Notamacropus eugenii: one gene and its partners. The protein of the gene in region 1 interacts with the protein of each later gene in a pairwise test. Links are inferred from orthologs where the notes say so. Each region holds a gene or a part of one and is shown in the gene's direction. Other genes may lie near its edges.

Evidence for each region.
Region 2: the proteins of NCK2 (region 1) and LRRIQ3 interact in binary tests that used the Homo sapiens proteins (3 or more experiments, as listed by UniProt). The two-hybrid records come from large-scale screens. The link is inferred for Notamacropus eugenii from reciprocal best matches to the Homo sapiens genes NCK2 and LRRIQ3.
Region 3: the proteins of NCK2 (region 1) and PIK3AP1 interact in binary tests that used the Homo sapiens proteins (3 or more experiments, as listed by UniProt). The two-hybrid records come from large-scale screens. The link is inferred for Notamacropus eugenii from reciprocal best matches to the Homo sapiens genes NCK2 and PIK3AP1.
Region 4: the proteins of NCK2 (region 1) and EFS interact in a two-hybrid assay, tested with the Homo sapiens proteins (2 studies listed by BioGRID and IntAct). The two-hybrid records come from large-scale screens. The link is inferred for Notamacropus eugenii from reciprocal best matches to the Homo sapiens genes NCK2 and EFS.

The regions. Positions count from the first base shown.
Region 1 is NC_092877.1:200,903,472-200,910,513, forward strand, and holds the start of NCK2 (cytoplasmic protein NCK2), read left to right. Parts: upstream 1-4,026; 5' UTR 4,027-4,117; intron 4,118-4,724; exon of another isoform or gene 4,725-4,861; intron 4,862-7,042. UniProt on the Homo sapiens protein: Adapter protein which associates with tyrosine-phosphorylated growth factor receptors or their cellular substrates. Maintains low levels of EIF2S1 phosphorylation by promoting its dephosphorylation by PP1.
Region 2 is NC_092873.1:535,564,749-535,571,711, reverse strand, and holds the start of LRRIQ3 (leucine-rich repeat and IQ domain-containing protein 3), read left to right. Parts: upstream 1-3,942; 5' UTR 3,943-3,944; coding exon 3,945-4,067; intron 4,068-5,567; exon of another isoform or gene 5,568-5,869; intron 5,870-6,287; exon of another isoform or gene 6,288-6,453; intron 6,454-6,476; exon of another isoform or gene 6,477-6,487; coding exon of another isoform or gene 6,488-6,592; intron 6,593-6,963. Other genes in the region: FPGT (fucose-1-phosphate guanylyltransferase), read right to left, coding at 639-806, 3,427-3,508.
Region 3 is NC_092872.1:213,496,609-213,504,000, reverse strand, and holds the start of PIK3AP1 (phosphoinositide 3-kinase adapter protein 1), read left to right. Parts: upstream 1-4,374; 5' UTR 4,375-4,774; coding exon 4,775-4,787; intron 4,788-7,392. UniProt on the Homo sapiens protein: Signaling adapter that contributes to B-cell development by linking B-cell receptor (BCR) signaling to the phosphoinositide 3-kinase (PI3K)-Akt signaling pathway.
Region 4 is NC_092878.1:9,806,565-9,813,454, forward strand, and holds the start of EFS (embryonal Fyn-associated substrate), read left to right. Parts: upstream 1-3,870; 5' UTR 3,871-3,992; intron 3,993-4,088; exon of another isoform or gene 4,089-4,288; 5' UTR 4,289-5,685; coding exon 5,686-5,697; intron 5,698-6,890. UniProt on the Homo sapiens protein: Docking protein which plays a central coordinating role for tyrosine-kinase-based signaling related to cell adhesion. May serve as an activator of SRC and a downstream effector. Interacts with the SH3 domain of FYN and with CRK, SRC, and YES.

The DNA.
Region 1 (7,042 bases):
TCCTTGTCTCTTGGAAAGGAGATAATTCAACCAATAAAGTCTTACTAAAGACCCAAACATCATAAACCTATAGTAATTAAATGCCATTGAACTCATATGGAACAGTATTGTGAGTTTTATTTGGCTATATGTGTTTAAATTTTTTGTAACTGTATTTTTTCTTCAATCTTCACATATCATTAAAACCAATTAATCAATCAACAAGTGTTTATTATGTGCCATGGATACAAGTACAAAGAATGAAACAATCCCTACTCCAAGTAGTTTACATTCTTTGACTTATATAAAGGGCCCCCAAGGGCCAGTTAGGAAACACATTGGATAGGGCACCAGTCCTGGAGTTAGAAGGACCTGAATTCAAATCAGACCTGTACTAGCTATGTGAGCCTGGGCATGTGACTTAACCTCAAATGCCTCCAAAAAAAAAAAAGGGTCCAAGACCAACATTTAATAGAGAACCAAGTCAGAGTCAGGAAGATAAGTTCAAGACCTACCTCTAACATACTGGTTATGTGACCCTGAGTAAGTCACAGAAACTGTGTAGATCCCCAAGCTGCTTTAGCATCTGCAGTGGAAGTGGGTGAGTTTCTGCAAAAATGATATGACAATTCTAGCTTAAAAAAAAAAACCCCTCCAATCCTGCCACCTTTTTGTCCTTTAATAGTGGGAGGAAGGTGTTTAATGATTGAAGATTTCTTTTTAGCCTTTTCCTCTAAGTTTACACAGATAAATAAAAACTTAAGCTCTGTGACCCCATCCGTTTTTAGGGGCCAGTTAGCGAAGCTAGAATGAAAGCTTAGGTGCCTCTTGACGTTATTTTAAAACAGCAAGGATTTAATGAGAATCTATCAGGAGTTCAGCATTGCTCAGACTGTGATGGGCCCTGCCCTCAAGAAATTTATAATATAGTCAGAGGACTATTAGCATAGATGTAGGAAATAAAGAAGCAAAGTGGCAGCATGCATCAAGTAAATGCTGTAATACAGATTTGAAAATAAATTACTGGATATCTGAGTAGTTGAAGAAGGGTCATGTATGGAGAAAAAAAGAATTTGAGATGGTCCTTGAAGGGCAGGAAGATTTCCAGATTGGGGAATAACATATACAAAGGCATGGGAAGTGGAAGTAAACATGGCTTGGATGGGGGTGGTGAGGCAATTGTGACGAAATTGGCAACGTTTTAATGTTAGGGAGAAAAGAAACTGGATAGGTAGGTCTTAAAATCAATCAATAAGATTTTAATAAGCAACCTGGTATTAGGCTGTGAGCTACTTAAAAGCAAGGGCTGCTTTTTTTTTTAATCCCTTTCTTTGTATCCCAGCTGGGATATAGTAGGTACTTCATGATTTTCATTGACATAATTTGCTATATATCAGGCACAAAGGATACAAATCCAAAAGTAAGCCAGTCCCTGCCCTTGAAGGAAATTTAGACATGACATAAGAGGAAATGGAAAGTTGCTATGGGTTTTTAAACAGGGATGTGATATAAACAAAAGTTGTATTTTAGGATAATAAGTCACGATACCATGACTATGTTTGATGGATTTCAAAAAGGCAAGAATATTGAGGCAAAAAGACAATGACGAGACTGGGTAAAGATGAGACAGTAGAATGGAAAGAAAAAAGCAAAATTGAAGGATATTTTAAAGAAAGAACTGATGAACTTATAATTAATATTTCAGAAGTGGAAATGGATTTCTGAGGTTAATTCTAATCCCACAATTTACTTATATATTTGATTGGACGGTGGAACTGGAAAAGGGCTTACAGATGATATTGTCCAATTTCCTCATTTTGCAGATATGGAAATTTGGATATGAAAGACAAAGAAAGAGTCTAAGATAAAACTAAAGTTTCTTTGTGGAGGGATTGGGTATGGGTATCTCTGACAATAGAGAAATTGGGAAGAACTGGTTTTAGGCAAAAGATGATTTCCAATGTATTGCATAAGAGATGATATTACATGTAATTGGAGATGTCCTTTATGAAGCTAGAACTAGTATGACAGGCAAGCCCTACTTTGGGGTAGGAGGGAGGAGGAGGGAATGAGTTTATAGGGAGAAAAGTAAAGAGACAAAGAAAAGGGGGTTGCAGGAAAAAAACCACAGTTTGGAGCTAAGAGGATTAAGTACCATTAAGGGAGAGGAGTTCATAGTCAATAAACTTTTATGAAACATCTACTATATGCCAGGTACCCTGCTAAGTGCTGGGGATACAAACAGTATAAAGACAGTCCCTACCCTCCAGGAGTTTACAATGTAATGGGAGGAAACAACACACAAAAGAAAGTTGAAAAGGGAGTGGAGGGAGACTTATGAAGGAAGGAAAAGGGGTATGGTGGAGGTCAAAGAAGGCCAAGATGAGTGATTAAGATGGGAAATGAGATATCTGAAGAGATGTCAGTCCTGTTCCACTCCTTAAATGGAGAGATTTATAGCTTCATCTTCCAATCAGAGGGGCAGAGGATATGGATGAGGTGTGGTTTACCACCAACAAGGCTGGTTGTTAAAAATAAAGGAGGTGAAGAAAAACTGCTCTGAAGTAGAAGATCCAGGGTAGTGAGGTATTACACAAACCACAATAATTTAGAGGAATAGAGGCTTTGAGAAAGTGTCACAATTCAGAGTTAGCAGGATAAGACAGAAAAGAGGACTGGACTTTGGGGAATTTAGAAAACAGTTTTCAGTAGAGTGGCAGGAGCTGGATGTAAGTTGTAGGGGATTACAGCAAGAATGAGAACACAATGAAGACCCATCTCCCTCCGTCCCCAATTTGAAGAGAAAAAAGATAAAGGCAGTGAGATCAAAGGTTTGCAAAACAAACTTGAAACTGTACCTAACAGATCAAATTTTTTTGAAACATTGTTACACCTTTGACTTGCACCACAGCTAGGCAAACATGAATCAGAAGCAGAGCTACAGATAAAAGGTAGATTTTAACACTAAAACAGAGATCACAAATGGAGATGCTGAGACGGCAAGAATAGGACCGATATTAGACAACTGTAGTTACTCAGTTAAATGACACAGACAATAGGCAAAAGACCTCTGACTCTTCCGAGCTGGGTTTTACCAAGTTACCTATAGTAGTGGAGGTTATCGTTGCTTTTACAAGGATCTAGGAGAGTGCTTTCCTTTGAACTGAGTACAGGGGCTTAGTATTTAGAATATTAGCTATATGCCTGGTGGAAGCCCTTTGGGGGAGAGAAGACACCTGGATGTCCATGTGAAAAGTGAAACTTGTGTTGCTGTAAGCTTGTTAAATAGTAAAGGGAATTCTTTACAGGCAAACCATAACTTATTATAGGGGGAGAAGACCAATCGCATCACAGATGACAATTTCATGTGGGACCTGACATTTAAATAATTTGCTATCTGCCTCACAGCAATAGACTGTACTATCAGAACCTGACTGAATTAAACAGATGATGCACAGTCAACAAAGGCCGGGTTTTTGCCTCTTCCATTTCTGAATTGTTTCCAGGAGGGATACCTGAAATTAAAACGTATTTTGTGGTCAAAGTAAATACATGCAAATATCCCCAGAATGCAACTTTAGGGAGGAAAAGGGAGACTTTTCACCGTCATCCATCGCAGGCCTTCTTTCCTGCGAGTTTCTCTGGGGCTTTGTTGGGTGGGTGGATGGGTAATCACTCAATAGCTTTAGTATCTGGATAAGAAATCAAAGAAATAACAAAGGCCCCCCACGAGGGCCCTTTGTCAAAGGCAGAAATAACTGCCTTCCTTTCATTAGCTCCCTGCCCCAACGACACGCACGTGCACTTTAAGGTCGCAAGGGAGCCCGGCTCTCCCTCCACCCCGTCTACCCACCACCGCGGATGGGCGGTATTTGCCCATCGCTAAGCGGCGTGCCACCTTCCCGAGCTCACCGAGGAGTCCTTGAACCATTTCTATCCCTCCTGCTGTAGAGCCCGCCGGTCTTTTTGTACCCGGCTCTCGTTGGGAGAGGTAGAAGGCGAGAGAGTGAGAGCAGCCTTTCGGAGCACCCCGGCCTCGGCCCCCACTGGGGCTCCGGCAGACTTCTCTCTGCCTGGAGGAGCGCATCCCCGCTTGGAAGGCTGCCGGTGCCCCCCTGGCCCAGGCACCCAGAACTCCGTAAGTGCAAAGGGGCGAGGCCGTGCCCGGGGTCGCGCCCCCCTTCCCAACCATCCCCGCCAGCCCCTCCCCGGCCGGCTGCCCCGGGGTCAGCGGCGTGCCAGCAGAGCCCTGCCCGGGCGGGCGGCTGCAAGTGCCATTAAGCCTGGAAGGGCAGCGAGGTGGGGGAGTAGAGGGTAGGAGTGGGGGGGGGGGGGGAAGAAGGCCTCCAGCCGAGCCCACCGCGTCACAGCCCGGGCCGGGGGAGGAGCAGCCGAGGAGGCGGCGGCGGCCAGGAGAGGAGGAGGAGGAGAAGGGGAGGGGAAAAGGAGGAGGAAGAGGAGCCGGAGGAGGAGGAGGAGGAGGAGGGAGTTGTGTGCATGGGGGGAGGGGTTGCCGCCGCCGCCGCCAGCTCGGGCTTGGTCCGGCCGGGAGCCGCGGACCGGAGCGGGAGGACGCCTGAGAGGCCAGCGATCCGGGGCCTGGGAGCCGCGCTGCCGGCCGCCGGGGAGGAGGAGGAGCAGTAGCCGGAGGAGTAGAAGGAGAGCGGCGGCCGCGCCGGCCCCGGGAGAGTCCGCCTCCGCCGGCGGGGGGCGGGGAGCGGCAGCGGCGGCGGCGGAGGGGAAGGAGACAAAGAGCGGAGCCTCCTGCGGCGGGGAGCCCGGCCTCCTCCGCCTCCGCCTCCGCCCGGCCTCCCCGGCTCCGGGACTTTGGGGCGCCGCAGCCGAGCTCTCTGCCTCCCCCTCAGCCGCCCCCGCTCCGGAGGTAAGAGCCGGGCCGGGATGGGGAGGGGCTCCGCGCGCGCGTGCGGGGCTGGGGACGGGGACAGCCCGCGGGCTCGGGGTGCCGGCACCGCCGGAAACTTGGGCTGATGGAGCGGAGTTGATGTGGGGCGCCCCCTTCCCGCGAGGAGAGGCGGACGGGCTGGGCGCTGGCGCGGAGCGGGGTTCTCTTGGTGCCCAGGGGGGCCCGGGGAGCCCCCGCACCCCAACCTTGGCGGAGGCATCTGCACTTTTCAACGCCCCTTCATCCCCACCCGGCGGTCGCTTTTCCTGCCTCCTTTCTTTTGCCTCCTGGGTGGGTGTCGCTGTTTGGAGGTGGAGTGCGTGGGGCGCCCGGGGAGGAGGAGAGGTGGGGGCGGGGGCACGGACCGGTGGGCTGCTTCTGCTTGGGGTAGGAGCGCGGAGGTGGGGCGGAACGCGGGGGGTGGCACGCACGGGCGTTGGGCTCCGCTTTGTCGGGCGGTAAGCAGAAGGACCGAGGTGGTGGTGGAGGTCTTGTCGGGGAGGGAAGGGAGGCCGATGGGGCTCCGGTCTGCGGGAGTCCGGGCTGGGGGTGGTGGCAGGAAGCGCCGAGCTCCGGAGCCCCCGGGGAGGATGCCGGAGCCGCCCCCCCCCCCGAGCCGGGGAGCTCCTTAGGGGGAGAGAACGAGACCCTTCGATCCGGGGGGATGGAGAGGAAGCCGCGTCCCTCCCCTCTCGTGCCCCTGTGTTGGCAGTGCCCACCGCCTTACTGCCAGCCCTCCTGGAGGGGGTGTTTGCCAGAGGCTCGGGAACGTGGTCCTGGGCCACATTATCCAGACGACTTAGTCCTACTTGTTACTTGGACTCAAGTTTCTCCATAGTTTTACGCTCTCTGCTATTACTGGAGGCAGTTGCCGTGTAAAATTCCCTTATTGTTTAGGGTCTGAACTCCCAACTTGCCCAGAAACACAACTTACTTTGTGTCGTGTGGAGGGATTTCACTTGCGAAGCACTTTAATGGGCAAACTGTAAAAATGCTGGAGGAACTGACGTCTTTCTGCTGTGGATACTGAGCACCTGACATAAAGGAGCCAGGCATGTTAACAACTTCATCCAGCTTGTGATGGACACGACATATCTCCATGTCGCTGGCTTTGTGGTTAATTCATCGCGTTTTCTAACAATCCTTGAGAATATAGCTGACTTACAGATACTGACCAGGAGGCAATGCATGGGGCATTTTGGGGGTCAGGAAGGATAGGACCTGTGGTTTGATTGAATAAACTGGTTTTTTTTTTCCACATTGAGAGGAGCGTCTCCACATGCTCATTAATTTCTTAGTCTATTTCCAAACAGACCAGTATCTTTAACTTGCTCCGGAGGATGGAGGAATGTAAACCTGGCAAGAAACAAGAAGAATTAGAGGCTGTGTGATACAAAAAGCCCCCTAATGTTACAGAAGGGATATGCTTAGTAGAATTCTAGCCTGTATTCTTGAACCAAACATTAAAGATGATTGAGTATGCTATTAATGCAGGTTAGCACCTTTTTCTTTAACTAAAATTGTTTCTTCCCTAAATTTCCGGAGATTAAGTGACAGGTCAGAGGCAGGACTTAAGCTCTGAATTTAGGATTTCTGGGGTCTGTGGCTACTATTCACTATACCATGGTGGAACTGGGCATATGCAAACTGGGCATAGTTTCTTGAGATACAGTATGTTGGCAAAGAGAAGCCCATTCATTTGTACCCATTTACTAGCTATGTGACCTTGGACAAGTCATTTTAAACTTTTAGTGCTTCTGGGCAGCTCTCTAAGATTAAGTTGAAGAAAAAGGTGCTGGCCTGCATTAATAGGAGTTTATTCAGTCAAATCACAGTTCCTGACTCCAAAACCATTGCCCCATTCATTGTTAGGCAGTTTTAGTTATAGAGAAGTAGTAGAGGAGGTTTTCTCTTGGACTTCCCTACACCAGAGTTGTCCAGCCTAGCTGAATTTGGCCAGATAAAAATGTAATTGGGAAATATTTAACAAAATAAAAATACAGTGAAACATAGTGTTACATTTTAAAGTTAGCTTAATATGTGGCCCCCAGCGATCCTTCTGTATGTATTAGTGGTCCTGGGCTTCTATTTGAATTTGACTTTAATGAAATCACAGGTGGTTCAATCCCTACCCTTCCTAAAACCCAGTTTGCACTAGTC
Region 2 (6,963 bases), on another chromosome or scaffold:
CCATAGTTCTTGACTCCAAATGTTGAATTTGAAACAGTTCCCTGGGCAGGTGAGATTCATTCACTTCCTGAACCCTGAAAGGGTGACATGGCCTGGAAACACCAAGGGTATCCGTGCTACTCTAATATGTGGTGGTTATGCATTGCATGGTGATCCCACGAACCCAAGGTATATGGGGCATGGGTGGGGAGGGCGAAAGAGACACTCCTGAGAAGCCCACAGAGCATTCTTTGTGGCTTAATTAACATAACTCTCTTCTAAACAGCATTCTACAAGCCTTTCACTGCTGTAAGAGAACTGACTAAAAACAAAGGCTTTTCTAGTGCCCCGAAATGAGCAGCCAGGTCCCAACACGGACCAGTTCTCAGAAGGGGCCTTGGGGATTAACCATCTCCCTTTTACAGACGGCGCTGGAGGCCAGAGAGCTCTACTCAGTGGCAAGGCTGGAGAGCAATCCCAGGCCTGTGGTCCTCAAAGTCCTCTGCGCCACTCCAAGCTCCCTCCCAACACACCCACTAAAACCTGAGCCACATCTGTGGCTGGGCACGGGTGAAGAGACCCCGGGGCGTTCTCTCCTGCAAGAAAAGGCCCCTCAAGGCTCGGCTCACCCCGCACCAGCCTCTGCCTGGAAAACCCACCGATCTTGGCTCCGGCAGGGTCAGCGAACACGTGGTAGTGGGCGCCCAGGGGGAGCTCCTTCTGCTGGAGCTTTCTGGAAAGCTGCTGCTTGTAAGCCAGTTCTTGCTTCTCGTCAGCTGCTGTTATCACAACCACATCCCAGAATTCTCCCGCTTTCATAGCTTGGCCTGTTCGGAAAAGAGAGGACATCAGTGAGCATGGGAGTTCACAAACAGGCTTCCCTTTGGTGCCAGTCAGAGGAGCTGGGTGTGACTCCCATCCCTGTGACGTCCTCCTGGCACCTGAACGAAGAGAGGTTGGACTTGACGAACATCGCGCTTCCTGCAAGCTTCAAAATATGATCTACCCGTGAAAAAAGATGAAGAAACTGAATCCGAAGAATACAAGCTATTCAGAGAAGTGTCTACTCGGCATCCCGAGTGGGCGCAATCACAAGTTTCTCCTGACTTCCCATCTTTCCAGACATCCCACCACCTCCCCAAGTAGAACAACTGGCTGACTTCTGGGGATATCTTCTCCACTGGAGAAGCTGAGCCTAAGTCATGACTGGTAAGTGGCAGTCTGGCCTGGCAGCCATAAGCTAGACCTCTCCTTGCTCGTATCTGTAGACCCCAGACCCTGCTCACTGAATTAAATCCTAGGATGAAAGAGATTAGATTTGGAAGCTCTGGAGATTAAGAGACGGACTTTGGGCTTGTCGAAGGCTTTCATATCAATCTTTCATTAAGAGGAGAAGATGGAAGCCCAGATAAAATCAATTTTCATGGATCACAGAAATTCAGAGGTAGTTAGCTAAGGTAGGTGTGTTTTTCCTTCATTGCTGAAGAAGACCATGCCATCAGAGAAATGATGACATGACTTGCACTTGACTTTGTTTTGAGTGAGGGAGGGCTGTGCAGGTCATCAGCCTCACTTCTCCTCCAGAGCCATCTGGGGCCAGTGACCAGATATTCATCAGGATGACTGGAGATGCCCCAGGATGAGGTAATTGGGGTTAAGTGACTTGCTCAAGGTCACACAGATAGTGAGTGTCAAGTGTCTGAGGTGAGATTTGAACTCAGGTCCTCCTGACTCCTGCACTGGTGCTCTGTCCACTGCACCACCTAGCTGCCTCATCTAAGGTAGGTGCCATCTAAGGAAAGACTGTCCCTCCAAAGCCACCACTGCCTCAATCTATCCCTTTTCCTGACTAAAAATGGAGTCTTTCAAACATAGAAAGGTTTTAAGGATGGGATACATAAACTCTATATAAGGGAAAACTTTAGCTCAAGAAAAAAAATACTCCTTGGGGAACATCCTGAATTTTTGGTAGACAGCTGGAGGGGCCTAGTTCTTGACTTTGCAGACAGGCTGAATAAAAAACTTACGGCTGGACTGTTATCCTCATCCAGGGCTGATCCCAGGGATGCCAGTGGGCTAGGCGCTGACCAGGCTGACTGGCTATTCCAAGCCTTAGTACTGTAACAGTTTATGCCATCCCTATTCAACAGACGCCTTATGTCCGCTGAGACAGGCACTGTGGGGGCGCTGAGGATACCCGGGTAAACGTGTACTGTCCCTCTGTCCTCATGGTTTACGCTCCACATGCTCAGACCAACAGACAGAAGGCTTCCAAGCCGGGACTCCAAGGGGCAGAGGAGACTGGGGACAGACTTTACAAAGGCACGGAGACGGGAGTGGCCAGGGCACACTCCAGTAAGTGAAGGGGGGGAAAGTGCCCCTAGTTTGGGTCTAGAGGAGTCTGGGAGGGCAGGGGCAGAGCCCCCACCCTGCCGCCACCAGGTTATTGATCTGACTCTAGGGTCATCCGTTTGTCACTGGTGTGGGCAGGGGGCCCAGGGCTGCAGAGCATGACCTCGGGCTGACCAGGGGCACCGGAGAAGATGCACGGGCCAAGGGGAGGCCAGGGCAAAGGTCAGCATGATCCAGTCCTTTGCTGGACTCTGAGTGTGGTGCCAGAGGGTGGGCACCAGGCCTGCGGCCCCCTGGGGGGTCTGCCCAGGCCTGACTGTCCGTCGGGGGCAGGGCTCAGCGTCCAGCACCTCGGGCAGCCACCAGGTCGGGGAGACCTTGGTCCAAATTTGACCTCTGACACTTGGCTGGCAGACGACCCGACCACGGCCTGCCTCAGTTTCCCCACTGGTAAAACGAGGATCTTACAGCCCTGTGTCCGGGCTTCTTGGGAAGGTCTGCTGAGACCCTATCTATACAGTGCCTAGCACACAGTAGGCGCTCCATAAATGCTAGTGCCTGTGGACTGACTGATCACCCCTCCCAGGTCATCTCTCTCCCCAGGGACCCCGAGTCTGACTGCGGGGGGCAGGCCCTAGGCCTTGATGCTGCGGTGCGGCGCATGGGCCTCCCTTTGCACGGCCAAGGCCTTGCAGCAGGTACACAGCAGGCGCCCCATGAATGCAGGCCACGGCCCTGGGGCTCAAGCCCCACTAAACTCCATTTCTACAGCCCCTCCCGACCAGGAGGAGCCTTGGCAAACTGGGAGCGCCACCTGGGCCTCTCTTGGCACCTCCAACGCAGGGCACTGCGCCTGCACACAGCAGGCGCTTAATAAGGGCCACACCAGGGGAACCAGGCCTTGGAGCTCCCTTGACCAGCGGGACATGTGACGTCACCTCCCGGTCCCGCCCCTGCGTAGAGAGGCGCCGGATACCGGAAGTCCGTAGCCCTCAGGCTCAGGCTCCGCCTCCTCGTCACCCGGAAGTCCCGCCCGGAATCCAGACCGCTTGCCGCCGGCGGCCTCCTCGCCCCCTCCCCCCCTCGCCCCTGTACCTCTGAGCCGCTCGAACTTCCGCAGCTTGCGCTGGGTGGCCTCGCGCAGCGCCACGTCAGGCCCGGCCTGCGCAGCCGCCATGAGGATCACGCCGCTGGGCCGCGGAATGAGGGGGACCGCCGGAGCAGGGCGCTTGCGCGACGTTTATTGCCGGCCCCGCCCTCTCGCGCGATGCCCCGCCCCCGGCCGCAGGATTCGCCGTCCCGCGAAGCCCCGCCCTCTCCAGAACCTCACCCGGAAGCTCGGCGGAGGGAGACCGAGGCGCATGCGCAGACGGAGAGGGGGGGGGGGGGGTCTCCATAGCAACCACGGACGCCGCCCCCCCTTAGTAACCGTTGGTCGCGGCCTGAGTTGGTGCCCACTCCCCAGCTGCTCCTTTCCACTGTGGGCCACCCTGCAGCCCCGCTGCCCCTGCCAGCCCGGTGAGTGGGCTTCGGGGTGACCCTCGAGCCATGGTCTTCCCACGGACTGACGCGTCTGTAGCGCGCCTTGCGCCACGTGACCCGCCGCGCCCTGCATGCAGTGGTGCTTCATAAAGGCACGTTCACCCCCTGAGCCGTCGGAGGCAGCCGCCCTTCATGCCCATCGCATAGAGGAGGACGCCGAGGCCTGGGGAGCCCCGGGTGCTGGGCCCGCCTCGGTGGGTAGCACGGCCTCCCGGGGGCGGAGCGCCCAGTGTCCGGGCGGGGTCCCCGCGGGCGGAGAGGCGCGGGGCCTGGACCGCTCCTCCTGGTCCTCGTGCTCGAGGCCTCGCCCGTGGCTCTCGGGCCTTGGCCTAGGCCCGGCCCAGGCTTCAGTCTCGGTTCTTGGGTCTGGAAACCCACGGGAAGCGAGCCTTAGAGACGGGCCTGGGAAGTGGGTCCGGGGGGGGGGGGGGGGGACAGGGCGTGGGGGGGCCCGGGGAGGGGGAGGAAAGGCCGGCTGCGGCCCCCGGACCAGGCCGCGGGCCCGGAGACCCAACTGACGGACTCTAATCTCCGGGAGCTCGGCCGGAGCAGACCCCCGGGGGAGCGAGTGTGTGTAAAGGAGGGGAGAGAGCCGAGGCGGAGGCGCCACGGAGGGCTGGGACGGTGCGGGGCTGGGGAGCGGGCCTGCGGGGGGCGACCGAGGCTGGGGTGGGAGGGGGAGCTGCTCGGTCCCCGAGCCCTGCCCGCGCGGCCCGACAACACGACGCTCCTGGCCCTCCTGAGGGCCCCGCGGAGCGCTTCTCACTCCCGCCTCCACCTTCTGAGGTTAGCTGAACTGGCCCGTAGCAGACACAGGTGTGTGAGCTTTATGGCCCGTGCGTTCGAGATGAGGATTGGGCCTGAGAAGCGTGGCGCCCCCGCACAAGCCTCTGACATTCCAGCAGAGCTTCGCCGAGTTAGGGAGCGGCCCAGCGACGTCTCGGAGATGAGTGTGAGCCGTGTAAGGGCAGACTTAGAGGGGAGTCCGTGTTCACGGGCCTGGCCTTCAGGACGTTACCCACGTAGAGGGTCTAATTCAGTGTCTGCGAAGGTCGTTTGGCCAAGAGCGGTCAGGGCGAGTCAGGAAGAGCCAATGTTCCAAGCCACTCAGGAGTCACTCATATTAACCTTAAAGCTTTGTCATTTCCCGTGTCCGCTTGTCCGACTGAAGAAACCCAGAGAATGACCCTCGCCTTGCAGCGACCTGTCACCGGTCCCGGCATGAGGCAACGCTGTTCTGTCCCGTTGGGCGCCTTCCGTACCCGGCTCTGGGACCGCAGCGAAGCAGCGAGCACCGGCCGGGAGGAGGCCCAGGCTCGGACGCGGAGGCCTTGGGGCCAGCGCCTGCTGCGCGGACGGTCAGCGCCCGCTGTGCACAGGGTCAGCGCCTGCTGTGCGCAGGGTCAGCGCCCGCTGTGCCGACGGTCAGCGCCCGCTGCGCGCAGGGTCAGCGCCCGCTGTGCCGACGGTCAGCGCCCGCTGCGCGGACGGTCAGCGCCCGCTGCGCGCAGGGTCAGCGCCCGCTGCGCGGACGGTCAGCGCCTGCTGCGCGCAGGGTCAGCGCCTGCTGCGCGCAGGGTCACCGCCTGCTGTGCGGACGGTCACCGCCTGCTGTGCGGACGGTCACCGCCTGCTGTGCGCATGGTCAGCGCCTGCTGTGCACAGGGTCAGCGCCTGCTCCGCGGACGGTCAGCGCCCGCTGTGCAGACGGTCAGCGCCCGCTGTGCACAGGGTCAGCGCCTCCTGCGCGGACGGTCAGCGCCTCTCGGTATCTCCGGACCAGGCAGGTGCGCAGAGCTTCTCCCTGTGCCGGTGAAATCAGAGGCCCAGCCCCAGCCTGTCAGTCAGTCGGTCAGCATTTACTGAGCCCCCCTGTACTGCAGGCCTTCCAGTGGCTTGTCAGGGATGCTTTGGTTTGTTTGCGCCCTGTGAGTGTATCTGACTTCTGAGAATTTATTTTGTTCTGCGGTCGCCTGGGCACGTTTCTTATTTCTCGGTAAGGTCGTAATTGCTGATGGGGCAGGAGATTCGTTAGATACGTAGCGGTGGTTACCTTCCCTCACCTCGGGAGCCATGCTGCCTGCTTAAGGAAGCATTTCAGAAATGTTTTTCATTTGCATGGCCAATGGTGCTAAATAGGAAGTATCTCGCGTCTGTGTAAAATACGTTTCTACATGCCGCACTCTCTTTTATCGTAAAATGTCCCTGAGATTTCCCATTTTCATGCTGTCACTATTGGCCTGTGGGGGTGGGGGTGGGGAGGAGGGGAGATGGAGATTCTTGCCTAGTCTCAGGAACTCCTGTGATATTTGGAATTCTAGATGTCATAGTCTCCAAGTCTAACTTGTAAATTGAATTAGTTGCACATCAACTTTGAAAGTATAATATTTTTCTCAATACATTTATATTTTCAGATGATAGTTTGTTAGCCTTCCTGCTGTTGAAGAGCCCAGGGGAATGCCTGCCATGTCTTGCTCCTGTTGCCATCCGAGCCGTTTCTTCAACAGATGTTTCCTCTTCTCTGACTAGGAAGCAAATTGAATTAAATATGCACAGCAAAGGCTTTGTCCTCTTCCCTAATTCTCCTTGTCTCCGTGTCATAGATTCCTCAGTCATGTGTGTGCCCCTTAAAACAGAAAACCCAGGAGCCAGACTGGTGTTCTTCGAACCAGCAGGCGCTGCGTTCCACAAAGCCATGGTTTTCACAGTGATTAAAAATGTAAGATGTAGTAAAAAGGATGGGTAGGAATGAATGGAAGGTTTACTGATAACCGGACGCAGTTCTTTGTTGCTGCACTCTTGAAGCTGGCATTGGAGCCCTCTCGCTCTCTGTAAAAGGTTACTGTCCTTCAACCCAAATCTGCCGTTGAGCACCTTGGTTTCTTCTGAACTTGATCATGTACACATCCATATGCAATTTCTCAAAGTAAAATGAGAATGCAAGTCCCCAAATTGAGCTGTTTGTGAGAAGCCTAAGACCAGGTTGACAAGAAGAGATTGTCCTCTCTCTCTCTCTCTCTCTGTCTGTCTCTCTGTCTCTCACTCTCACTCTCACTCTCTCTGACATTAACAATCTCACAAGTGTTCCAG
Region 3 (7,392 bases), on another chromosome or scaffold:
GCACTTTGTCCAAATTAATCCAGCCTATGTTGATTAGTATGTGTTAAGGTGGAAAGGTTTGGTTCCTGGGAAGTATGACTATTCAGAGAATGTTTTTCTGGAGACATGACTGCTTTTTTTTATCTAACCCCTCTAGAGTGAGAATTTCAGGTCAGTCTTAAGTAGAGGACAATGTCATAGGAGGTGATAGAGGAAGTGGCTTATTTGGGGAGTGGAGGATAGAGGGGACAGCCATAGCGAGGCATTTTATATCACACTACATAGGATTGGCTCTTATTTTGAGAGCTGACCTCTGGTTCAAGAGCCACAGGTTGTGATCTTGCCTTGAAGGTTACTAGAGAATACAGAGAATTGAGATTCTAGGGACAGAATATTTTCTGGAAAGGGAGAGCTGGAGCAAGGGACTTGAAGCAAGTATTCCTATGGCACTGTGGGTTGAGTGTTCCCTTAGGGAACCTGGACTACCCAAAGACTCCAGGAGGAAAAAATAGTAGATAACAAGTGCCAGGTGGGCAAAGTCACCACCAGCATTGCCACTACCACTCCCCTTAGACCCTGGGGGAGATAACTCAGGCCTTTAAACCCAAGAGCCCAGGCAATGTCAGTGGCTTCCAGACCACCAGCTCCATTTCCAGCCTAGCCTTACCCAAAGGAACAACCTTCTGGATGGTTTCAGTGCCTCATTTCTTCTGCTCCTCTCAGCTACCAAAGTGGTTTTCCTAGAATGTGTACTGACTGCCTGCAAGGGGCAGCTAGGTGGTGCAGGAGATAGAGCACCAGTGCAGGAGTCAGTAGGAGCTGAGTTCAAACCTCACCTCAGACACTTGACACTCACTAGCTGTGTGACCTTGGGCAAGTCACTTAACCCCAGTTGCCTTGGGCAAGTCACTTAACCCCAGTTGCCTGGGTCATCTCCAGTCATCCTGATGAATATCTGGTTGCTGGATTCATATGACTCTGGAGAAGTGAGGCTGGTGACCTGCTCAGCCCTCTCTCACTCAAAACAAAGTTAAGTGCAAGTCACATCATTATCAGGCAACGAAGGACAAACACACTGACTGATCAGCACCTCCAAGTTCAAATATAAAATTCAGTTTGCCTTTTAATGTCTCTTATAATCTGACCCCTTCCTCCCCTTCCAATCTTCTTAGACTTTACTCCTTTCCTGTATTCTATGATCTAATGACATTGCTAGTCAGTCAATGAGAATTTATAATTTATTTGCTCATTCCTCTCTGGGCTACACTTTTAACTCATCTACACAGGACTTGTCTACCATGGAAGCCTCTTTGATTTAGAAGCTCACCCTTTCCCTGGAATACTTCTCATGCTGGAAGTGCTTTCTAGGCCTTTGTTCTTTTTCTCTGATTGGCTGGTTCCTACAAGAACCTCCATTTTAAGGAGACTGTCCAGGCCAGCCACACCTTCATTCCTTTCCTGACTGCACTCCAGACTTCTCTGTACAAGACTTTATCTACTCTAGTCCTGCCCCAGCCCCTATCTTTTTTTAGTTCCCTTTTATGTGTTGTCATAGTCCAATTGGAAAGGAAGCTGCTTTCTTTCTGCTTGTACTTGGATTCTCAGGATTTAGCACAGTGCTTGACTGACTCTCCCCCATGCCAAGAATTCTCTCTCTGCTCATTTCTATCTCCTGGCTTCCTTCAATTTTCAAATAAAATCCCTCTTTCTTTTTTTTTTTTTTTTTACAATTTCAACTTGCCTTTTTTTTTATTATTATTTTTTTTTTATTTTTACAAATCTTTTATTTATTTATTTTTATTATTATTATTTTTTTTTATTTTGTAATGTTTAACAATCACTGCCATACAATTGTGATTTTATCCCCCCCACCTGCCCCCCACTCCCCCCCTCCCCTAAAATCCCTCTTTCTGCAAAAAAACTTTCGCAGTCCTCCTTAATGCCTTCCCTCTGAGACTACCCCTAATTGTATGTATGTAATGAATATATGTATATCCATATCATGTTCCTGCATAGTTTCCTGCATATGATCTTTGATTAGATTGTAAGATCCTTGAGGGCATGAGCTGTTTTTTTGCCTTTCTTTGCATGTACAGAGTTCAGCACAGCCTCTGGTACTGAGGGAGTGTTTAAAAAATGCTCATTGATTTGACTTGTTGATTTTGGGCAGTCCCTGCCTCCTTAGTAGCCACAATTTTGAAGATGGGGAGAAGAAAATGCTCACCACCAAAGTCCTTGGAACTTCCAAATAGTTCAGTCTCAGAAATGGATATGGTTCAGATTGGCTAATGACAGAAAAGGAAGGTGACAAATGACAAATATGGGAATGTGGAAAAAATGGGATGCTAATGCACTGTTTCTAGAGTTGTGAACTGGTCCAGCCATCTAGAGAATAATTTGGAATTATTACCAAAGAGCTCTAAAACTGTACATACCCTTTGACCCAGCAATACCACTACTAGGTCTATATCCCAAAGAAATCAAAGAAAAAGGAAAAGGAACTATAAGTACACAAGTATTTACAGCAGCTTTTTTTTATGGTGGCAAAAAACTGGAAATTGAGGGGATACCCTTCCATTGGGGAGTGGCTGAACAAGTTGTAGTACGTGATTGTGATGGAGTATTATTGTGATATAAGTGATGATGAGCAGTATGGTTTCAAAAAAGTCTGGAAAGGCTTATACGAACTGATATAAAGTGAAGTGAGCAGAACTAGGAGAATATTGTACTCAGCAACAGCAATATTGTAAGGACGGTCAACTGTGAAAGGTTATTACTCTTTTCAATAGCATAATCCAAAATTATTCCAAAGGGCCCTGATGAAAAATGCCATCCACCTCCAGAGACAGAGCTGATGAATTCTGAGTGCAGATTGAAGCTTTCTTTCTTTTTCTTTCTTTCTTTCTTTTTCTTCTTCTTCCTGTCCTCCCTCCCTGTTTTCTTTCTTTTTTTCTTTCATGGCTATTATGGAAATATGTTTTGTATGACTTCACATGTATAATTGATATCATATTGTTTGCCTTTTCAGTGGGTGGAGGAAGGGCCAGAACTCAAAATTTTAAAGAAGAATGTTAAAAAATAAATCATTTAAAAAGAAATATGGTTTCATCAATGGAAATTACATTAACATCTCCTTAAGGGTTATGGTCTAAGGTTTATGGGGCTTTTCCATCTAACTTGTAGGTAAGACCTCTGAGGCTATATTTTAAGGGTTACAGGACTCTTCCACCTAACATGTAGCTAGGACCTCTTAATTTACTATTTTTTCATCCATTCATTCATCATTCCCTTGCTTAAGAGCTTTCAACACTTCCTGTTGCCATTTCAAGCTCACCACTATCTGTCTGTAACCTACCTTCTTGCCTTATTTCACATTATTCTCCTCCATACACCTCTCCTTACTCCCTACAGGCCACCCCCCATTCCCTGAAATGCAATGCCTCTCATCTCCTCCTCCACCTTCAATGCCCAGGTCACTGCCCCACCTTGTCCATGAAGCCTTTCCTGTTCTGGTTGAAGGCGAGCTCTTCTTCCTCATATGCTTGGAGAACAGTTTCCACCTACCTTGCATCTACCATACTTACGCTTCCCTTCTATTAGATGGAGTAGAGACTTTGTCACTTTCCATGTTTGGATCCCCAGTACCTAGGATGGAACTGCACCAGAGATTTCACTGGTCTCAGAAACTCCCAGTGAGGGAAACCTCTCTACTAATGTAAAATGACACTTTCCGTGCATTTACAGGGGGCATTGAAAGCTAGTGGGTGACAAGAGAAACTTGAAGTCAAATCTTTCTGGTACCAACGTTGCCTCTCATAGGCATTTTATAACTATATGTTAACTTGAATTTCATATGGCATTTAATGGTGCCACGGCCTTCCACGATCCACCATTTCCTCTGATTGGGGCTTGGTGCTAATGTCCAGCCTGCAGTACCTGCGGCCCAAGGTGATTGGGCAGGAGGGAAAAGAGACTTAGGAGGAGGAGAAAAGGAGAAACGTAGTGAGGGGTCAAATCCCTGAGGAGTCTGCAGAAAGGTAACTGAAGGGAACTCAAGAGTAAAGCTGTCCCTTGGGGGACCAGTTCCCAAGAGTCACCACTACTCTTTCTCCTCTTCTCTTCCACCCCACCCCCAGCTCATCTATTTCCTGCCTAGGGCACTGACTCAGGGCACTGACCCAAGGGAGGAGTATCTGCCAGCTGGTGCTCATCATGTGCACATCTACTTTACCCCATTTACCCCCAATTTCCAAGACACAATTGGGGATCTTAGGACCTCTCTCTTTCCCACACTACATCCTCAGGCTATCCTTTAAGTCTGTGGATGGGGAGATTTTGGGGGACACCCAATAGGGCTTGTCTCGTTCTGTCCTGCCGGGAGATGTCATAGGGGAGGGGGGGACGGCGTCTGAGAGGAGGAAGGGGGCTCCTGGTTTTCGACCCCAACTCTCACTTCCCCTACTCAACGGCGTCCAACTCCAGGTGGTGCTGCCAGCCTGCGGGGAGGCAGCTGGGCTGCCCCCTTTGGGCTTCTCTCCCGCCCCACTGCCTCAGCGGCCCCAGCCACCAGCCCCGGGGCGGCCAGCCCACCGGGGCGGGGCGGGTCAGTCCCTCCGCCCCCTACGGCTCCGAGGAAGCGCCGCTACTGCCCAGCCCAGTCCGAAACCAAAGCTGGAGTCCTCGGAACAGAATCTGGAGCCTCTTTACCTTTCCCCGACTTCCTTTCCGCCCCCGGCAGGATTGCAGGAGGTCCCACAGCCCGGGATGTGAGCTGGGCTCCCCTCCAGACTCTGCCATGGCAGCCTCAGGTCAGTCTCTTGCTTCCATCCCCTCTGAGCCCCACTACAGCCGTCCTCTCCTCTGCGAACCCAAACCGCCCTCCTCTGCTCTGCTGAGCTTCATGGGACTCTGAGGCTCGAGCCCCCCGACAGCCTTCAGGGTCCCCTACACTTCCCCAGAACTGGCACGCGCTCCCTCTTGGGCAGCTTGGGCACTCTGCTAACCCTGCTGCTTTCTGCATTCCGTCACTGACCTGGCATCTACCTGCGCCGCCCCACGCTGGGATAAGAACTGTTTGTTTAGCGAGCGCTTCCCGGACTTGGCAGATCCCTTGGCCCCAAGCTCCCATTTGTTGGTCGGAGGTTTTGGGGTTTCGCCTTTACTTATACATCTCTCCACCCCTCCACCCCCAATCCTCAAGTTTTTATTCTTTCTCCGAGTCCTGGCAACTTGTGTTAACTGATGCTACGGTAAGCAGAAGGAAAGAGAAGTCAGAACAGCGCTGTGTTATTGGGCAAGAATTCTCTCTTGGTCTTAGAGGAAGTTCATGTAGTGTAAAGGTTGGATCTGAGGAGCAGCATAGTGTAGTCTAATCGACTGAGCATCAGTTTCAAATTCCGCCTCAGACACTTAATAATTATGTGACCCCCCCAGGGAAGTCACCTAACCGCTTAGTGTCTCAGTTTCCTCATCTGAAAAAACCAGGAGGGGTGGGCTGTTGGGCATGATGGCCGCTAAGGTCCTCCCCACCTTGCCAGTCTTCTTGTTCCCAACCTCTCCCTCCATTCCAACCCCTCCTTCCCCTTGTCCCCCCATTCTGCAATCCAGTGACGCAGGTATTCATACTCTTCCTCCAAGAAGACTCTTCATTTCCCTACTCTGAATTTGCACTGGCTGTCCTTTGTGCCTGAATTCAATTCTCTCCCTCTTCATCTCTGCCTCTTTGCTTTCGTGGCTTCCCTAAATGCCATCTAAAATTCCACCTTCTACAAGAAGTCTTCCCAGATCGCTCTTAATTCTAGCTTCCTTCCTCTGGAGACTACTTCCAATGTATCCCGACTATGTCTTGTTCATAGATCATTGTTTTAATATCGTGTCCCGTTAGTCTGTGAACTCTTTAAGAGAAGGGACTGCCTTTTGCCTTTCTTTGTACCCCCAGCCCTTAGCTCAGTGCTTGACACATGATTGTGCTTAATAAATGTTTGCTGATGAATTCCAGCTTTATGATCTGGGTTGGAATTTTTTGTGACCTTGGATGCTTTGGATGGCAGTTTCCTCATCTGTAAAATGGGAGAATAGTATTAGAAAATCTCAGAGTTACCTTCCAACTCTCATTCAATGATCCCATCATCCCATGTCTGGCTATTTGCTAGTCTATATCCTTGAACAAGGTTTTTAACTTTTTTTGAGACTGAGTTTCCTAATCTGTACAAGGGGCAGAAATATATTTTCAATATTATCCTCAAAGGCTGTTGTGAAGAAAGAGCCAGGTAAATTTAAATTTGCAAAGGATCAATCAATGAATGAAACAGTTGTTAGGCACCTACTATGTGTGGCCCAGTGGATAGAGCACTGGGCCTGGAGTCAAGAAGATCTGAATTCCAAATCCAACCTCAGGTACTTACTAGCTGTGTGACCCTGGAGAAGTCACTTAACCTCTGTTTGCTTTAATCCACTGGAGAAAGAAAAGACAAAGCACTTTGGTATCTTTACCAAGAAAACTCCAGGGACAGTGGCATGCTGTGGTCCATGGGGTCATGAAGAGTTGGACACAATGGAAGGACTGAACTACAGCGAATGTACTAAACATTGTACTAGGCCCTGGGGATACAAATTCAATGAATGAAGCATTTCTTACTCTAAAGGGACTTACATTTTGACAAATCAACCATTACTGTTTTTACAGTGATTACTAGAACTTTTCAAGGAACTTGAGCGGTCAATCCCAAGTCTGCCCAGGAGAGGTCATTTATATCCATGGGCATCTCTCTGGCTAACAAATATCTTGCTAAATTCCTCCATAACCTTTCTATTTTCACCCCTATCTTTTATTTTCCTTTGATCTTTGCAAAATTCTTTTAGAAATAGGAAAGATGGGAGGCAATGTGGGGAGAGAAGTGAGCAAAGATCAGAGAGAATGTCCTATGACTCTTTTTTGTTTTGGTAGTGCTGCCCTTGGGATCTTTTCTTAGCCTTGCCTAAGGCTAAGTCAGGAGACATAGCAATGGTCTTTGTTTTTCTTTGGTCCAGACCTGTATTTGGTATAGGAAACTGCTGGTGAAGAAACTATTTACCGATGAAGATCACTTAGGCATCTTTTCTGCAAGTTAGTCGTGGAGAGCTTCCCTGAGAAATGAAATATTGCAAAGGATTTCACAGTTACTTTGCGTCATGAGGCTGGATTTGAATCCAGGTCTTTAAGACTTCTAGACTAGCTCTCTATTCACTAAGCCAGAGCTGTCAAACTGCAAGTCCTAACCAGATTAAAATGGAATTGAGAAACGTAAGAATAAGGAGAGAAAGTGGAGGTGGAGGTGTTTTGTAGAATGCTTTTAATGGTGGCATTATTAAAGGATCGGGGTGATTGCTATCATCCAGTAAAGAGGGTCCGCGTTCCCCACCTTATGACAGCAG
Region 4 (6,890 bases), on another chromosome or scaffold:
AAGCTTAGGAAGAAAACCAACTACAATGAAATATGTAAAAAAAATTTACATTCACATTGTCCAGGTTAACAACATACTTTTTAGCTAAGCTATCCACCTTTTCTCAGGCAAGAACTTCTCTGAAGACGAGGGTTGGTAAGTAAGCCAGTGGCATGGCGACAGATGTCTACCATGTCCTCATGCATTGCCCATACAGGTCACTGAGTTGCCATCTATCCAGTCTCAACTACCCAGCCAACCAGCTACAAGAACAAATCACCCCATTCTGACACTGATGTTGCTTCTCAGACCAGAAATTGCCCTAAATAAGTTCATAAATGCAACTCTGATCTGCTTAGGTTCAACTTGAGGCCTAAGGCAGGAGAGAAAGTAAAACTCTCACCCATATCTCATGCCCGCCAAGTACATACACAATCAGGTGGAGTTAATAATTCACTTTCCGTGCCTGGGAACATGGTGATCTTTCTACCAAAGACATTCATTGTCTTTCTAGTACATTGTAATGATCCCACGAATCTTGCAAAAGTGGTGGGAAAGTTGTGGTCCCCCTAAAACCTGAACTACGGACCCTTTGGATTAAGTTTTGCCTCTCTAAGGAGCACTTCTTAGAAAAGTAATATCTTTTCCACTCTTGCCTTGACAGGGGTCCTACCCAAGTTTTCATCTCCCCTTTACCTCAACTACTTTATGATCATGATCATAACAGGAACCAGGCTAAGTCACATTCCTACCAGAAAAGGGACCCTACATGACTTCCCAGGGTGTGGAGACTCCCCATGAAACTCACAAAGTTTCATACTCATTTATTCAATAAGCATTCATTAAGTGCCTGCTATGTCCTTGGCACTGTACTGAGGAATTCAGACACAAAAAGAGGCCAAAGACAGCCCCTGCCCTCAAGGAGTTCATAGTTTAGCGGAGGAAACAAAATGCTGTCAAATATATACAAAGTGAGCTCTGTACGGTATAAGTAGGAAAAGAGGGAAAACGTTAGAATTAAGAGGGGTTGGAGAAGGTTTCCAGTAGAAGGTGTGGTTTTGGTTGGCTGGTCGTTGTCCGTTCTCAAAGAGGACCAAAATGACATCACTATGTTAGAGTCACGGTACAATGCATCCAACTATGACTGATCAGACCAAGACAAGCTCAGAATGCCCTACCACAGGTCGGGCACAAATAGTCCATGTGAACATTTGGGGTGGATTCTCTAAATTTGTGAATCTTGTGTTTCTTCTGAGCTACTTCCATTCTGCTCTGCTTACAGAGCACAGCACCTTCTCTGATGTGGGCACACCATGCTGGGCAATCTGATGCCAGCGTCTCCCAAGTCACACAATCAGTTCCAAAGTTCTTAGGAGAGATGTTGAGAGTGTACTTGTATTACTTCTTTTGACCGCCATGTGAGTGCTCGCCCTATTCTCCACAGAATAGTCTTTCAGGCAAGTGTACGTTTGGCATTTGAACAACGCGGCCAATCCATTTGAGTTGTGCTCTCTGCAGTAGAGTAGGCGTGTAGGTGATATTTAAGTTGGTATTTAAAGGAAGCCAGGGAGGTCAGTAGTCAGAGGAGAGGAGGAGAACCTTCCAAGCATAGGGTACAGTCAAAGAGAATGCCAAGAGACAGCATCTTGCTCATGGAATAGCCAGAAGGCCCCAAGATCCAAGCAATGTGTCTAACGTACTCATGATTTCAAAGACCAAGGGGAGTTATCCTATCATAGAGGAATAAATTCAGACCAGGGTGAGCTGGAAATCTATCCTAAGTAACTTGCCACTGTAAGTATAGGGGGAAAGTTAGTAGATAACACTATCTGTTCACGTCTATCTTAGGGATAGTCTGGGAAAATCCCATCCAAACCTAACTCCAGGTCCACCCTGTCCTCAGTGTAGCATTTAAGGACATCCCCTAAGTTAAATTGCCAAAAAAGAAGAAGAAGAAGAAAAAGAAGAAGAAGAAGAAGAAGAAGAAGAAGAAGAAGAAGCCTTTAGTTTCTCTGGCCCAGAATGTACATAACTTACTTACATCATGATGCTACTGAGTTCACTAATTTCTAAGACTCAGGACCTACAAAGTGACATAGCACCTTCCACCTCCAGAAGGAGGAAGGACTAGACAAAGCCTAGACTCCACCCCTCAGGTCGTCATGGGGTGAATCCCACATGGGCCAGTTAGCTTTATCCTATTTCTCAGCCACAGTCTTAAAACTCTAACCTAGTTAAGTGCTAGATCAGTGCGAACTCTTCACTACTCCTGGGAAAGGAAAACTCATGCGTATACTCTACTCATGAAGAGCCAGGGGGCTCTTTTTCATATAAGAAAGATGACAGGTTTTCTAAAGCAAAATGCCTTCCACACTCAGAGAAAGAACTATGGAATTCATTCGCAGAATTAGCAGATCGTGTGTGTGTGTGTGTGTGTGTGTGTGTGTGTGTGTGTGGTGTGTGTGTGTGTATTATGTTTTAATTTGTTATATGATTTCTTCCATTTATTTTAGTTCGTCTACATAGCGCGACTATAGTGAAAACATATTCAATAGGAAAGTATATGTAGATCCTATATAGAATTGTATGCCATCTTGGGGAGGGAGGGGGGCGGTGGGGGGTAGGTGTGGGGGGGTAAAAATCTAAGTTTTATGGTAGTGATTGTAGAACATAAATAAATAAATAATAAAAAAGAAAGATGACAGTCCTTTTTCTTCTTTTTTAAAGCAGGGAAAAAAAGAACTTTAGAGGGGAAGAGAGAAGGTGGAAAGTGAATGGATGATTAAAATAACGGCAGAAAAGAGGACCTCTGTAGATGGACTTGTGGTGGTCCCATTTACCCCTATATGAAATTTTCATGGAAAAAGGATGGTTTTCCATTCTCAGAACCTCACCCAGACTCAAAAATAGCTCCCTGCTCTTCCTAAAGACCATATGAGCCCTCTGTACCTGACAGTCGCCATTTCTGCTCTGCAGAGGTGTTGAACAAGGCAGGGCTAGAATATGGGACAAGCCCAGACTGGCTGAGGAATTTAAGAGTTTGAGAACTGGCCTGCTTCCAGTCCTGGAACCATACAGCTGGATCTGTACAAATTCACTACAGCTTTGAATACCCTTTGGTTGAGGATCTGTATAAATTTAATCTTAAGGAAATCCAATGATTCCATAGGCCCATCACCCACACCTGATACACAGCAACTTCCTTCCCTTTAAACAGGGTTTCTTAACCCGGGGTCTATACATTTGATTTTTTTTAATATTTTGATAACTGTATTTCAATAGAATTGGTTTCCTTTGTTCTCCTATGTGGGTTTTTGTGTATTTAAAAACATTATTCTGAGAAGGGGTCCAGAGGCTTCACCAGACTATCAAAGGGGTCCGTGACACAGAAAAGATTAAGACTTCCTGCTTTAGAATATGGGTTTGGGCACACGTACCAAATTCCACTTTATAATCCTTACCACCACAGCATCTGGGAGTGGGTATCGATATCTTGAGGGATGCCATTGGCAGAGAAGGAAGCTAGGTCTGTGGGACAGCTAGAAAGAGGAGAGGAAAGCAGATATCAGACTGATAAAAGAGAAAGCAAAGAGAAAAGATGAACCAACAAAAAACTGAAAAAAAGGGTTGGAAAAAAGAAAGGAGAAAAGAAGGCGCCAAGGGAGGAGAGAAGTGGGACAGGGAAGAAAAATCTCAGTAAGTCACTGTATCTGATTCTATGTGATGCCGTGAGGAGGAAAGAAGGGAGAGAGCCAGCAAAGGAAGAGAAAACATTGGCGGCAGCAGGAGCGGTTTGGCCAGAGGGGCACTGGAGCTGTAACTCAACACCCTTCTTTAGAGAAATCTGTCCTCCTTTCTCCTCCTCCTCCTCCTCCTTCTTCCCCTTCCTCCCTCCCTCTCTGCCTCCCTCCCTTTTTTCCTCTCTCTTCTCTTAATCCACAGGACTGAGTCTCAGAACAGAGAAAGGGAGAGCTAACGAACCAGAGAAAAGGAGAACTCCAGAAGGAAAGACAGTGAGTGTGACGAAAGAAAGCAAGTGAAGCGGAAAGAAAGGAGGGAAGGAGAGAAGAGAAGAGGGGGGTGGAGCGTGGCCTTCGAGGAGGACTGGGCTGTCCCCCACTAAGGTCTCCTCCCCCCCACTCCCTACCCCGCCTCCTTGCCACAGGGACTGTGTGTGTGTGTGCGTGTGTGTGTGTGTGTGTGTGTGTGTGTGTGTGTGTGTGTGTGTCTTTCCTGGAGGATCCCACACGGACATACCTCCGCCCAGGCATCAGGACACCTCTCTGATATTTGTGTCCTTCCTTCGCAGGTTGCTTTTCTTTTCTTTAGCTGAGACACTTTGGAGTTTGGGATGGATTGTCCTCAGAGCACTGGCCCCCAAGAAAACCAGACACCGGAGCCCTAGCACTGAGAGGAGGGGAAATCACTTCTGAGAGTGGGTGGCAGATCATCGGGGGGGTGGCAGGAGAAAGGGAGTGGAGTGGAGGCGGGAGAGGGGACACATGCATCAGTGAATGCAAGGTGCAGGGGTGTTTGGTCGCCAGCTGGTCGTGAGGATGGTGTATGAGGCTGGAAAGAAGTTTGTGAAGTCAGACCGCTGTGATCATGTCTATTTGACCCAGTTAGTGAGTTGGTAAGTGTACCCAGGTCCCTGTAAGTTTGTGTACGTGTATGTGAAAGGGCAGGTGTGAAGCCAGCCTGCGTCTTTTAAGTTCATGTCATTTAATGTGGAACTCGGTGGGCTGTCCTGAGTGGGTCTGAACCAGAATGTTAGCAGGTCTGTGTTCCTGGGTCAGTGGCTGTCTATGTGCTCAAGCAGCTCTTTGGAATTTATGATCATACAAATCTTCCAGTACCCCCCACCCCACCTCAAACCCCATTTCCGTGAGGTCCCTGGCTGTGGTTCTAGAAGGATTTCGCAATCTCCTGAGAATCTGAAGCACCAGTCTTGGCTCTCACCCTCTGGATCACTGTCTCTCTCTCTCTCTCTCTCTCTCTCTCTCTCTCTCTCTCTCTCTCTCTCTCTCTCTCTCTCTCTCTCTCTCTCTCTCTCTCTCTCTCTCCTTCCCAGCTTTTCCATTCCCTCTATCCCTCTCCTAAGGCTGCTGTAAAGCACATCCCTGAGAAACTTTCCTACAAGTTCCTCTACCCTCAGGTGCCAAGAGCAGGCCTGGTTCATACTTAGCTTCCTACCCAGCCAAACAACTCAAGGATCCTCCCCACCCTGAGCCCTGCCCCTGGAGAGGCCTCGGAGACAGAAGCTGCGCCCAACCCTAGCCTCTCATCCTAGTGGCCCCTGAGTCGTCCCCAGATCTCTGGCATGTGGTATGTGCACCAGGAGTCAAGCCACTCAGCCTCATGAACCAGGTCCTTAGAGACCCTTTCCCTTGACCCTCCATCTCCAAGGCAACTTTGTGGGGGGAAAGCAGCTGTTGGAGCCCCTTGGATGAAGACTTGGAAGAAGCTTCAGCCTCTCCGCTTGTCCCAAAGGGCAGTCTCTCAGTTTAGGGGCTCGCCCGGTTTGCTCTCTCCTCAAACCTCAGCTCCGGCTGCTGCTCGGCCTCCCCAGACTGGGGGCCGCCTCTCCCCATGTGAAGGGGCTGGCACTGGGCCCCAGACCATGATGTTGGGAGCCTCTTGCTGAAATCTGCCCAGAACCCAAAGCCAGTCCAGAGCAAGAGGAGGATAGGACAGGCAACGGAGACCATGGCTGTGTCGGTGAGTCCCCACTCGGGGTAAGGAGAGAGGGGTTGGAAGGTTTGGGGAGAAAAGCCTCTTCTAGCTTGGTTTTGTCTTCCTGCTTTTTGCCCTTTGTGTTCCTCATCATCCCCCCATCCCCACCCCTCCCCTCCTTTTCATCTTTTCTGCGCCTCCCTGGCTGTTTTTCTTTAAGTCTCTTCCTCACTTTTGCCTCTCTCTCTTTCACACCTCCTTTTCTTTTCTTTTTGATCTCTCCCTCCTCCCCTCCCCACACTTATGTTTCCCTACTTTTCTACCCTGGACCGGCTCCTGTGATGTGTGGGGACAGGGCAAAAGATAAAGGCAAAAATCCTATGGGCTTTTTTTAGGAACAGGACAGATGGTCAGTGGCAGCTCCCAAGGAAGGGAGCACTGGGAAGCTAGAGAAAAGGAGGGGGGAGGGGGCAACCTTAAGAGAGAGAGTAAAGAACTGAGGGAGTGAAGGGGGACCTGAAGCACCCCCCACTGAAAGGGAAGAAAGTGAAAGGAGCAAATGGGCCGGAGGGGAGATAAGGAGCCCGAGAGAGAAAGGAAAACAGGGGTGAGGGAGAGGGATGATGTCAGTAGAGCCTCAGGCCACTTTCCAGGGACTGGAGGTTGGGGACAAAGGGAGGAGACAGCTGGCAGAACGGGATTTCGGGAGGGGGACTCTCAGGGAGCACATGGCTGTTTGCCACCCCCCATTAAACAAGCCTCACAGGCGGGGATGTGGGGGGAGGGAGCCATTCCCCCCAAGTCAGCTGGGGGAACCCAATGGGGGCAGGGAGAGCAAGGGAAACCCCACCCCTTCATCAACCAATCAATCAGCAATTATATATTGTTCCCAGCTCTGGGCTTCATCCCCACTGGTCAGATTCCAAAGGGTGAGAGACTCTTTTGCCCTGCCCTGTCTCTATCCAAATATGAGAGTCCCTCCTTTTCTCTCAGGAGACCCCTCTATTCAAAAATCAACTCTGCAGCTTTTCCAACACTCTTCTACCAGAACCTTCCCCACCAGCCCAAAGATATTTTTGAGTAAAAGTAAACACAGTGCCCAGGGAGAACACAAACTTGGTTTCAGACTTGGGCTCATTTCTCTGCCTTGAGAAACTAGGGAAAGCTGGAGAGTCTCAGGATCTCTGTTCTGGGCAAGGGTCCTGCCAAAAGCATCCGGGAATCCCTCCCTCTATGAA